Linked DNA regions of Danio rerio. Each later gene encodes a partner of the first gene's protein in a complex. Links are inferred from orthologs where the notes say so. Each region holds a gene or a part of one and is shown on either strand. Other genes may lie near its edges.

Region 1 (5,905 bases):
CAAGTGTGAAAGCACCCTAAAGGTCACTTTAAGCTGTATAGAAGTGTCTTGAAAAATATCTAGTCAAATATTATTTACTGTTATCTTGACAAAGATAAAAAAATCAGTTATTAGAAAGGAGTTATTAAAACTATTATGTTTAGAAATGTGTTGAAAGAATCTGCTTAAACAGAAATTGGGAAAGTCGCTTTGGATAAAAGTCGCTTTGGATAAAAGCGTCTGCTAAATGACTAAATGGAAATGGAAAAAAATAAACAGGGGTGCTAATAACTCAGGGGGCTAATAATTTAAACTCCAACTGTGTGTGTGTGTGTGTGTGTGTGTGTGTGTGTGTGTGTGTGTGTGTGTGTGTGTGTGTGTGTGTGTGTGTGTGTGTGTGTGTGTGTGTGTGTGTGTGTGTGTGTGGGTATATATATTATCACAAGCACTTATGTTGTTTTCACTCGGTAAAGAAAATAATTGGATATGTGTGTACAGCTATTCAAAAAAATGATTACAATTTTAAAAATGAAAATGTAATTACTAACATAAAAAATGTTGCATAATTTTAGTAACACTTGTTTTGTTGTCTTTATTCTCAGAGTTTTTGTGCTGCTCTGCATCAGGAACTGAAAGAGTACTACAGATTGCTCTCTGTACTTCATGCACAGGTGAGTATGGGACAAACGCTTAATGTGCAGGGGAAAATGTGTGTGCGTTCAACCCTTTTCTGCCTTTCGTTCTTGGCTGGAAAAAATCTGCAGGATATTGTAGTAAAGTTTTCAGAACAGAAGTTTGGGGAAACTGATGCAAAGCTCCAGCCAATTTTTGTACCCTGTCTGAAATGAAACAAATTGCTCCTGTAACCTTTTCTGACTGTTGCATCCAAAGCAACTTGTAATGACGACAACCAAGCATAAGAAGCCGTACAGTGTATTAGTGGAATAAATGAATGAATACAACAATCTTTTTTATTATATATTAATAATTTTTTTATAATTATTATGATGATATAATTTTAACATAAAAAAATATAATGGTTTGATTTAAGCCAAGTGATGCTACATAAAACATACCTGCACAAAACAAAAGTTTAATGTTTAATATTTAATTTGCATTATATCTTCTTTTAAACCTCTTTGAATACAGAGGGATCCCTTCTCATCATTAATAAAATAAATATTAATTATTAATTAAATATTAAATATTAAAATAATGAATTATAATTATTAAAACAATATTTCACATATCAGGGACATTGAGCTTCTGCCAGTAAGTTTTAGATATTTTGGTATTAGATATTTATAGTAGAGGTGCAAACATTTAGACTTAAGGGCACTACCAATGACTCCAAACGTTTTCAGATTTTCTTTTATTCATTCATTTTCTTTTCGGCTTAATCCCTTTATTAATCTGGGGTCGCCACAGTGGAATGAACTGCCAACTTATCCAGCCCTTCCAGCTGCAACCAATCACAGGGAAACATACATCTATACACACTCATTCACACTTATTCACTACGGACAATTTAGCTTACCCAATTCACCTGTACCACGTTTTTGGACTTGTGGGGGAAACCTGAGCACCTGGAGGAAACCCACAGGAACATGAGGAGAACATGCAAACTCCTCACAGAAACGGCAACTGACCCAGCCGGGGCTCGAATCAGCGACCTTCTTGCTGTGAGGCGATTGTGCTTCCCACTGCCCCACCCTGCATCCCTTCAGATTTTTTATTTATATATTTATTATTCTATTTTGAATAATTCGATTTTTATTCACTGTTTTCATTTTCTTCATTTGTCTTCATTTGAACTGATGTTTCCGCCATTAGTATTTATTTTCAGCTCTCTGCTCTGAGGCACCTGTATTACTTATGGGCCGGTCTAGCCAATAGCATAATAGCACCTACTGGGGATATAGCAAGACCCCATCTGATTGGTTAAATTTGGATAAATGACCTATGCATGTAACAAGCAAATACTCTTTGATTCAGATATTGCAAATACTATTATCGCCACAATGATAACTATTTGATATATTGTTTAGCCCAACTCTTATTTACATACTTTGCACTATGAAATCATTTGCAGGGCAGTTTGTGTTCAATTATAAAAAAAAAATAATAATCTAAAACATATAAATACAATGTTTTTGTATTTTTTGCCAGTTAATTGGTGTGAATGTGTGTGCGTTCAGCTCCAGGTGGAGGACGATCAGGGTGTAAATATGAGTGTTGACAGCAGTTTGACTCTGAGGAGACTTCTGGTGTGGACCTACGACCCCAAGGTTCGACTAAAAACACTGGCCGCCCTGGTGGACTACTGCCAAGGTTGGTGGTTATACAACTCATCCTGTAAATACCGTCATACCGCAATAGCAATTTCTTTCAATATTACCGTGGTTGTGACTCAATAAAATTATAGGTCTTCTGGTAAAAAGTTTTCTCAGGCGAATGGAGCAAATGGGAGGTAGCGGAAACTACAATTTTCATCAGCCCAGGCGTGGCCATCATCCTTTGCGGTCTGTTGTCACTACAGATCCAGTAATGCAGAAATGGAGGGTGCTGCTAGTAGGAGCAAAGAAAAAGAGCTAAAAATGGTCAAACCTAAAGCGGGTTTTAAATCAGATGCATGGAAGCATTTCAGTTTCTCTCTGAAAAGAAACAAGAAAAAAGAAAAGGTGACAGAAAAAAAAATACAATGCTGAAATACAAGTCGGGGAATATGGCTAACATGATGGGGATTCTTTTAGTCAAGGGGACAGCAGAACACAGCACACTGCTCAGATTGATGGAGACATTGACTTGTACCACCAAGAGACTTCTATCTCACTCATGGCTTGTCCTTTCGAGTGGTGTTTTTTTTTACATGGTTTAATATTTTTTGTTATTAAAATTTAATAATTTAAGTTCCTGTTTGAAAGTTTACAAATAGGTAATTTGTATGTCATTGATCTGTTCAGTGTTGAGGTTACCTGAACATTCTAGCACTTTTTTGAGTCTCTTCAATAGTTTTTTTTTTCCTTTAAATGATTCAATAAATACCGTACCGTGCCATTCATACCGAGGTATTACCGTATCGTGAAATTTTGATACCATTACATCTGTAATATATATATATATATATATATATATATATATATATATATATATATATATATATATATATATATATATATATAATTTAAAATATGAGGCTAAAAAAAAGACTTTTGACTTTTTTTTTACTTGGGCCAGTGAAAATTTTGGCAGGGCAAGTAAAAAATCATATTTAATGTTCTTAATGTGAAATATTTTATGTATTTATTTATCATCTGTTATTATGATTTACATTTTTATTATTATGCAATTTTAATGTTAATTTTTTATCTATATTAATTTTGCTTTTAGCCATTTTATCTTATTATTTTAGCCAATGATCTATATTAATTTTGCAATTTAGCCATAGGTTGCTGATATGACGGTAAATAAACAAACTCTGGTTTCTCTCTCAGGGCGTAAGGGTGGAGAGTTGGCCACTGCTGTACATGCGTATGGAAAGACGGGTGACCCCAACATGAGAGCACTGATCCAGCACATCCTTGGTCTGGTGTCTCATCCGATTCTCAACTTCTTATACCGCTGGATTTATGATGGAGAGCTGGAGGATACGTACCATGAGGTCAGGAGGAACACATACACACTCTGTTTATGTCAAAGTCACACAATAACTTACTTCATACTTTAGTGTTTATTTTATGGTTAACACTGCAAAGCTGTACTTCATTCTTTACACTGTGGCATTCATTTTGCTGGCAATCTACAATTAAGAGACTATTGCAGTGATTTCTTTTTTTAAATGAACTTTTAATTTTGGTCATTAAATGTCCTGGAGAGTTTCACAAGCCTCATTTCTCAAGTAGTGGAGCGTTAAGACCTTTTTTAATAGTGTCTCTGATTTAAATTTCATTAGCAATGTAAGGGTTGCTCCTTTTGATTCACTTCCATTAATCATTTCAGAGTCTTTAGACCATTTAAGGATTATCTCTTATATTATTAAAGCATTTATGAGAATTTTGGAAGAATTTATTTTTTAATGTATTATAATTTATTTAATTCTCTTTATTTAATTTTTAAAAATTATATATAAACTGACTGGCCACTTCATTAGGTACATTTGCCTTCAGAAAATATCTATGAGACATTTTTACTCACAGAGCTTGCACAGTAGCTTTTTTTTTTTTTTTTTACTCTTTCTCTTTTTGTTTCAACCCATTTTCTGTAAACCCCAGAGACTGGTGTGTGGAACAACTGCAGTAGATCAGCAGGTTTTAAAAATTCTCTGACCAGCCTGTCTGGCACTAACAACCACTCCACTTTTAAAGGTTCTCAAATCATCTTTCTTCTGGATTGTGACATTTGATTTGAACTTCTCCATATTTTGACTGTGGCTGTTTCTCGATTCCACAAACACAGAGAATAGACTCGTGTTTTCATGAAGACCAGTTCTGCCAAGTTACCTCGGAACCATCTCGGAAGACCGCGAGAATACATCCTCTAAAAAAATGACATTTTTCCTGATGGTCACATGACATTCACACATTTTAATAGGAAAATATTTAAACATTACAACATTTATACAATAATTTATATTTTTAATATATGTATATAGCATGCAAACAAACCTCTAAAATACAAAAACAAAAAACAAACAACAAACTAACAAACAAAAAACTAACTAAACTGATTTTAACATGAACTTCAGCAATAAACACTGGAATCTCAGCGAATATTTGCTCTACAGACTTGAGAAATATATCCACATAAAGCCTTAAATCTGTGCTTTTAAATGAACCAAGTGCACTTGAAAACTAAAATTTTTTTTTGGTTTTGTAATCTGTATAAAACGAACGCAAGTCTGTCCTGTCAAACGCACATTACATGACAGCAGCCTCTCAAACGCCCACAAACTTGTAAACAAAGAGTCACTATCATTTCTGTAGGACATTCGCCATCAAGACAAGTTGTGAACTGCAGAAGACGAGCGCGATCAGACGAAGCATTATTGGGATGATAGTGTGTAGCACGGCCATAAATGAAATTTTCACGACAAACAAAAATGTTCATTTTGAGTGCGCATGCGCATTACCTCGGGCAACCTGGAAAAAGTGCTGATTTTGTTTGAATCAAACATTTAGAAATGAAGCTTATGAGATGGTTGTTGCCTAATTTTAGTGGTTGCTGTCAAAGTTAGCGTGTTAATGCACGTGATTAATTTGAAATGTATAACGCGTAAAAATAAATAAATAACGCAAATATCACAGTTGCAGTTTTTTTATTTTATTTCCTGTTGTGGCTGACGTGTTCAGGGTCGGCGCGTCTATAGAGGCACCTAGACGGGCGCCTTAGGCAGCAGAATAGTGAGCAACACCCCCGGTCCTCACATTCATGCACTACACCCACCCCCTCCCTCACAGTGCTTACTTTCATCATGCAAGCTATCAAAGACAGTCCTATTCTCTGCCTTTAAGCTACTAACAGGAGTCCTCACATTTCATAAGTTTGATGGAAATCATTTTTGGAAATCACTTTTGTTTGTTATTGGGATTGATGGTTTTGAAATTCAAATGGCACTTACATGTCTGTGTTTTTATTTCTGTAATAAATATGGCACTTATTTGATGGTGATTAATCATGATTAATTACAAAAAAGTGTGATTATTTACGTAAATTTTTTTTAATCATTTGACAACCCAGATAGATAGATAGATATATAGATAGAGATTGATTAATTGATTGATTGATTAATTGATTTTAGAACAATAGATAAAATGTTTCCTGCTACTCCTAAACGGCAACAATGGTGGCTGTGAGAGAAGAACAGTTTCATATAAAGCAAACAGTCGCACGAGAATCCCACAGCAGCACGTCACAATGCATTCTGTTT
Region 2 (6,657 bases), about 15 Mb from region 1:
TGGCAAGATTTTCCGGTCCATCACCAACATTACATGGAGGATTTTAACCTCTCACCTCATCTATGTGGTAAAAAAGACCACAGTATAAAATGACCAGTATCAGTTTTTGAAAACAGATTTTTATTCAAATGTTGAGTTTTACCAAACATAATAATTATAAAATAGTAAATATTTACTTGTTTAATTTTAAAGTTATTGAATATTTATCAAGTCAACAGAACTGGTCCTGTGTTCTTTTGTATGGCCAAATATCTGCTTGCTGCATGGAGAATAGGTGATAATTGTAAGGAAAGTGACGCTATCAGTGCCATTAGCATATAAGTAGAGAGCTATGAGCTGAATGGTGTTGGAATTGTGCAACGTGTAAATAGTTACTTTAAAATATTTGAGTATGATTAGGGCTGATTTTCTTAAATATTATTTAGCTCGCAAATTGAATAGCATTTGTTTTTTAATTTAAAACACCAGCCAGGAAAGACATTTTTTATTATTCTATATACTCTGCAGATACAGACATGCACATGTCAAAGTTGTCATTTACTTCATCAAATTTTGTAAATATAGATTATACACGGCAATTATTCTAATTGTGTTTTGATTTGTGTTGCGTGTAGATATACAGGCCACTGTTATGGGCCTGCATAGGCAGTACACCCTGTAAAAAAACATTGGATCTTCATAGCTTTTGCTGCAACTTTCTGCTACTCCAGAGGCCCAGCATTGCAATATTATATTTTCCTGATACATTTTTTTTAAATGTAAAAACTAATTTATTTCATTACATTAGAGGCCTCCAATAACATCTAAAAGTGTATTTTTCTACGTTTGGGTCTTTCAGGGTAAACCAAACCCTTGCACTAAACATTTTTAACTACAATTTATAAGTATATGACCATATGCTATTTAGCATCTTCAAAACCATTAAAAGAGAGAGTGTGGAAAAAGAAGCAGAAAAATGATGGACTGCCATCAAAAAACCTACCTTTAGTGAGTCTGAGGCTCTTCTGAGTTCTTTGATAACTGATGACAGGGCTTCGGGATTGATCCCCTGCTCACAGAGACGGACACATATTGACAAAGACTCCATGTCCAATCCTGTATTCAGCAGCCTTGATATCTCCAGGAGAACTGAGAGTGAAAGAATGAAACAAATCATGTCAAACAACCTTGTATGTAAATGTATAAATAAATGTATTATGAAATAATTTGGTTAACGCAGTAAGTGTAGTTATTTCCCCCTTCTGAAAACAAAAAAACAAAACAGAAACATTACAGAAGTTCTAAAGGACTTCATTTTACCTTCAATTTAATTTAACCTCTTATGACAACATATTTGAATTGGTTTTAGTACGTTTTGAGACATAATCAACTAGAATGCCACCAATAAAATGCAACAAAGAAATTACCAATAGAGATATTATTATTAATTTACATTATTAACATTTTTATTCACACTTATGTTTCTTACGTTACTTATGTTTAGTTTGTGAGGATCTGTATCGCCATGTAATAAAATAACAAATTACAGACCCAAAGCTAAGAGGGGTTCGAGTGGTTCGAAATACCCACCCACACCGACAAAGTTCCAGAATTTGCCACACACATGAGCTCAATAGTCCAATTTTATCTGCTAAGCCATCAAAAATTGCAAACACATCCCATAAATAGCTTTAGGACAAAGCAGAATCTGACACAACTGTAAGTGAAATCATTTTTCACTACTGACCAACTGCACTGTTGTTAAATAGAGAAAACATTTTACAAAAAACTTTGATTCTAAATCTTGGACCTTAAGCAGCAAAGCTTTAGTTATACTAAAGTTAATACCTAGGCTATTCTTGTGATCCATGAATTTTCAAATGTACTTTTTTTTTTACATGGGAGGCTATAAAAATCATCAAGCTTTATTTATTTATCTTTTAATATACAGGGTTCATACACATTTTTACTACTAAAATTCCATGCCTTCTCCAGGACTTTTAAGTAAATTTTCATGACCTAATGTTTGCACTGCATATTGTAAAACAGTCAACAATCTATTTAGTTTAAATCTATTTTTATATCTATGTAAAATGTATTTATGTAATGCTTACACAGCACAAATAATGTGAAAGTAGGGCTAAACAATATATAGTTTGAGCATCTATATTGCATTATGTGTATCCACAATAGCCATATCACAAAATTAGACTGTTTATCAAAGATTAAAAAGTTATTATTTTTTAGGTTATTTATACAGTGATGTTATTTTACGTTTTATTGTATTTGATTACTTTTACACTCCTTAGAAAACCATAAAGCACTGTTTATTTTTGCTCTGTCTTGTTTGAATATGCTTGTAATTTATTATATTTTATGCTGATGCACTGCATTGAAAAAGATTTAATTATCCCAGCTGATCTATATGAATGAAATCTTTCTTTCCAAGTAGAGCTGTTCAGTGTTTTTGAAACTAATGAAGTCAGAATGCAATAATTCATTTTAATTATTTAGCCTGACATGTTTACTGTTTCAAAATACTTTAAATATTTCTCTAAATAAAAAAAAGTTGTTTAAAGGGGAAAAAGTTTTTGTTTTTTACTTAGACATTTAAAAAGAATATATATTTTAGTAATCACAATACAGTCATATTTATATACAAGGTTATCATACAGTACCATCAGAATCTAATACCAGTCTATTTCTAATCGCAGTAAAGTGAAATATCACAATGTAAGATTTTTCCAATATTGTGCAGCCCTATGTAAGAGCATGTTTTTGGCAGAAATGGACAGAAAAAGAGGTAAAGAAAACCAACTTATATTCAAGTTGATATTTGTTAGTTTTTTGTAATTCGATCAAATGTATGTGTTGCTCTGTGCAATAGTGGAATGTGCAGTATTGCAATGGGTTAGCTAGCTAGCAAGGTCAGCTGTGATCTTTTAAGTTGTAACAATAACAACATGAATGCTAGTAATATAATGTTAATTGGTCATATATTAATAGAAATTAAATGGATAAAATCACATTTTAATGGCAATACGTTTGATTAGAAATAAATACAGGGAACAGTGTATTAATGAGGACCACCATGTTCTATGGTAAGTGGAAGAAGAAATGGACAGATCTGGCTCTTCCTGCAGATGAAAGTGATGTTGAGATGGGTTTTAGTGACCGTGAGAATGATGCAGGTTGGACATTTGATAAGAACAGTGATGGAGACAGTTCAGGTAAGTTTGCTCGGAGGCATTTAAAACAGGCGTAGTATAGTATATAGTATATAATATATAAACAATGTTAGCTAGTAACTACATTGATACATCTAGATAGATTGTACTGGTATATTTATTATAATATTTACTTAAATGTTTAGAAAATATTTACCTTTACCGTGTTGTATACATTATAAAACAATATTATGTTTTAATAATATTCAGCAAAAAAGAATGGAATAAATAAAAGCTGTTGGAATATCAGTTGTTGAAAAGTATGCATAAGGTGTCATTTATAAGTTCTGTGTTAAAGCTTATAATACTGCAACACCAGTTAAATCATTTCAAAGAACAAAATTATTCATTAGAAGGAAAGTTCTACATTTAAATTTTCTAAGTTATGTCCACTGTTGGACGTCGATGCCATATGGCAACATTTCATAAAGTAACGTTACTTTAAAAAAGCATTTTTTTGAAGTGAATAACTGCAACAAGGTCCACCATATGAGAAAATAAAGAACCACCCCTTTCACCAGGCTGTCTACGGGCATGCATTATAATGACAGCATTTCATCATTCTACTGATGCATTTAATCTTACCATCCATGGTCTCGCGGACAGCGTTCATGTTTGCGCTTGCAGGACTAGCCATGATGCTATCGTTGCTAAAGCTATATGATTACTTAACAGCGCACTATCTTTCATTCAGACGACACTGATGCGTCTATCTCTGTAAACGTTAGTTGCTGGCGTTCTCTCACCATTCGCGAACTTACAACAAGGGTGAAAAATATAAAACGCATTCAACAACAAGCATGAACTAACTGTCAGCCGTTATATTTACACCTCCCGCTTGATGTTATGGTAATCCTGTCAATAAAGTTGCACACGTTCGAAAGGAAGTTACGTAGACACTGAAAGGGTGTCGTTCTTCTCACCTGATTGGCTGTTTTGCAAGTTTTGCTCGATTGTGATTGGCTTGCACCGCTTGATCAAAAATTAAATCAGACGTTGGAGCAATTCATATATCACAGTTACGTTTGTTTGAGTTTCGTTACGATGTAAGTATTTAATTAACTAACACATGGTTAACGTTTTCCCCTTCTTTTATAACGTTAAGACTGCTGATTACCAAAGGTAGAACATTGTATCATTGATCTTTTGTGTATGTATAACAAGATATATAACTAAGCAAACATGATGTTCATCGCTCTGATTTGTTGATACTTTAAATAATCTCCTCTTTTCCGTGTTTTACTCTCACACATTCAGCGTGCTCAGCTGGATGTCTTTTTAAAGATGGGAGACATCGCAAAGATTCATATAACTCCCGAGACTCCTGCTAGACCTACTATCCTGAACCCGTTTGAGAGCCCAAACGACTATCACCGTCTGCATGAGTCTGTGGTGCCCAGTCCGTCTGTCTTTAAAAGCTGTAAGAGCTCGTCAGCGGTGAGTAATTAACTGACTCTACTACATATGAGGAAAGAACTAAAGGGATAGCTCACCCTCCCAAAATGTCAATTTCATCACTATTATTTACTCTTAAGTGGTTCTCAACCATTATTAAATACTCTCTTCTGTTGAATACAAAACAAGATATTCTGAAGAATGTTGGGGGACGAAAACAGTGATTGATATTCATAGTAGACACTAAAAACATGATGGAAGTTCAATTCATGTTTTTTTCTATTTTTACAATGTAGAATGTTTCAAAGCTGCTTCTAGTAGATGGAAACTGTGTCAATCCAGAGTTGAAGTTCAGTTTAGTGTAGTTCAGTTTACTGTGATTTAAAATTCACTGCTAAAAGTACAAATACAGAAGAGCAAGTCCATTGATGTGCAGCTTCCCAAGTCCCAAACCTAGCAAGCCAGTTGTGAGGAACACTTTGGTCAGTTGTTAAAGTTTGAAGGAAAAAAAAAATCAGTCAATGGCTGTTTATTTCTGAACGTTCTTTTGTAAATTTCTCTTTGAGTTCAACAGGGGAAAATCACTCAAACAGGTTAAGGTTGAGTAAATGATGAGAGCAATTCCAGCATTACGGATGTGACATTTGCAGTAAAAACTTAAAGCATACACATAGAATGTACAGTTAAAGTCAGAATTATTAGCCCCCCTTTGAATTTTCTTTTTTTAAGTATCTCCCAAAGGATGATTAATGGAGCAAGGAAATTTTCACAGTATGTCTGATAATACTTTTCTTCTGAAGAAAGTCTTATTTGTTTTATTTTGGCTATAATAAAAGCAGTTTTTAATTGAAAAAAAAAAACATTTTAAGGACAAAATTATTCGCCTTTGTAAGCTATATATTTTTTACACTGTCTACAGAACAAATTATCAATACACAGTAACTTGCCTAATTATCCTAATCCGCCTAGTTAACCTAATTAACCTAGTTAAGCCTTTAAATGTCAATTTAAGCTGTATAAAACTGTCTTTCAAATATTATTTACTGTCATCATGGCAAAGAATAAATAAATCAGTTATTAGAGATGAGTTATTAATACTCTTATGATTAGAACTGTGCTGAGAAAATCTCTCTGTTAAACAAAAATTGGGGAAAAAATAAACAGGTGGGCTAATAATTCTGACTTCAACTGTATATGGAAACATCTGATTAAATTTTCCAAAACAACTAACCACAGAGTTATGGGATCTGACAAAATATCAATCTGTAAGCATTTGTTATATTTTAAATGAGGAAAATAGACATGCTTTTTTATGAATGTGACCAAAAAAGTCTGTGAGTTTGCAGTATATAACATACTTTGTAGAAATACTGTGAATTAAACTGCACAACCTAAAATAAACAATGCTAATCAAAATGATAAGAGTTGGCTCACTGTAGAACTAAAATTATTGATTGTATTTTTTTTGACATTTTTGTATTTATGTGGAAAAAGCTTCTTTATGGATGTGGCATCTCTCCATTATGGATGTTACATGTTAAACTGTCACTCATGTGACTTAAATATAATTGTTTAAAAACATTGATTGAGACATTTTTGTGTATTTTTACAGTACTGTAAAATACAAGCCTACACAAAAAACTTGGAAAGGGTTTTGCTATTTTGTTTAAAACTTTATATTTTTTATGGCAAGGTTGACATTAGCATGGAATTGCTCAAGTGTCATTTCTGTTTTTACTTCCTATTGTAGACACCAGCTAAGTTCAAATGGTCTATTGATGAAATGGCAAATTTGCTTCCTGTGGAAATAGACCCAGAGGACATTCACCGCCAGGCTGTGTTTTTTAGCCAAGCCAGGTATGTATTCCTGTGTTTACAATAATGTTAATTTGTTTGTAAAGATTTGGTTAGATGTCTAACTTAAATGGGTTGTAATGCATTAAGGGCGGATTCTGAGATTGAGGAAAAACGCCAACATGCTATTGAACAGGTAAAACTGTTTTACTGCTAAATGTAGCAAATCCTGAACACAAAAAATATTTTCTTTTAAACAAAG

The links.
Region 2: the proteins of tubgcp3 (region 1) and mzt1 are in contact, whole or in part, in a cryo-EM structure (PDB 7QJD), measured with the Homo sapiens proteins. The link is inferred for Danio rerio from reciprocal best matches to the Homo sapiens genes TUBGCP3 and MZT1. Residues at the interface, in NP_006313.1 of Homo sapiens: Lys7, Pro9, Leu12, Leu13, Asn15, Leu16, Cys17, Arg19, Ile20, Leu21, Arg23, Val28, Gln31, Tyr34, Ala35, Val38, Ile39, Asn42, Phe43, Ala44, Pro45, Thr46, Ile58, Leu62, Arg67, Asp70, Phe74, Leu77, Lys80, Leu81; in NP_001065243.1 of Homo sapiens: Asn17, Ala20, Val21, Glu23, Thr24, Val27, Leu28, Glu30, Ile31, Ser32, Arg33, Ile34, Leu35, Asn36, Thr37, Leu39, Asp40, Glu42, Thr43, Ile46, Cys47, Val48, Arg49, Leu50, Cys51, Glu52, Gln53, Gly54, Ile55, Asn56.

The regions. Positions count from the first base shown.
Region 1 is NC_133176.1:49,730,704-49,736,608, forward strand, and holds part of tubgcp3 (gamma-tubulin complex component 3), read left to right. Parts: intron 1-581; coding exon 582-650; intron 651-2,177; coding exon 2,178-2,310; intron 2,311-3,473; coding exon 3,474-3,640; intron 3,641-5,905. UniProt on the Homo sapiens protein: Component of the gamma-tubulin ring complex (gTuRC) which mediates microtubule nucleation.
Region 2 is NC_133176.1:34,321,144-34,327,800, forward strand, and holds the start of mzt1 (mitotic-spindle organizing protein 1), read right to left. Parts: upstream 4,079-6,657; 5' UTR 3,844-4,078; coding exon 3,792-3,843; intron 1,129-3,791; coding exon 983-1,128; intron 1-982. Other genes in the region: bora (protein aurora borealis), read left to right, coding at 4,491-4,643, 6,352-6,458, 6,546-6,591. UniProt on the Homo sapiens protein: Required for the recruitment and the assembly of the gamma-tubulin ring complex (gTuRC) at the centrosome.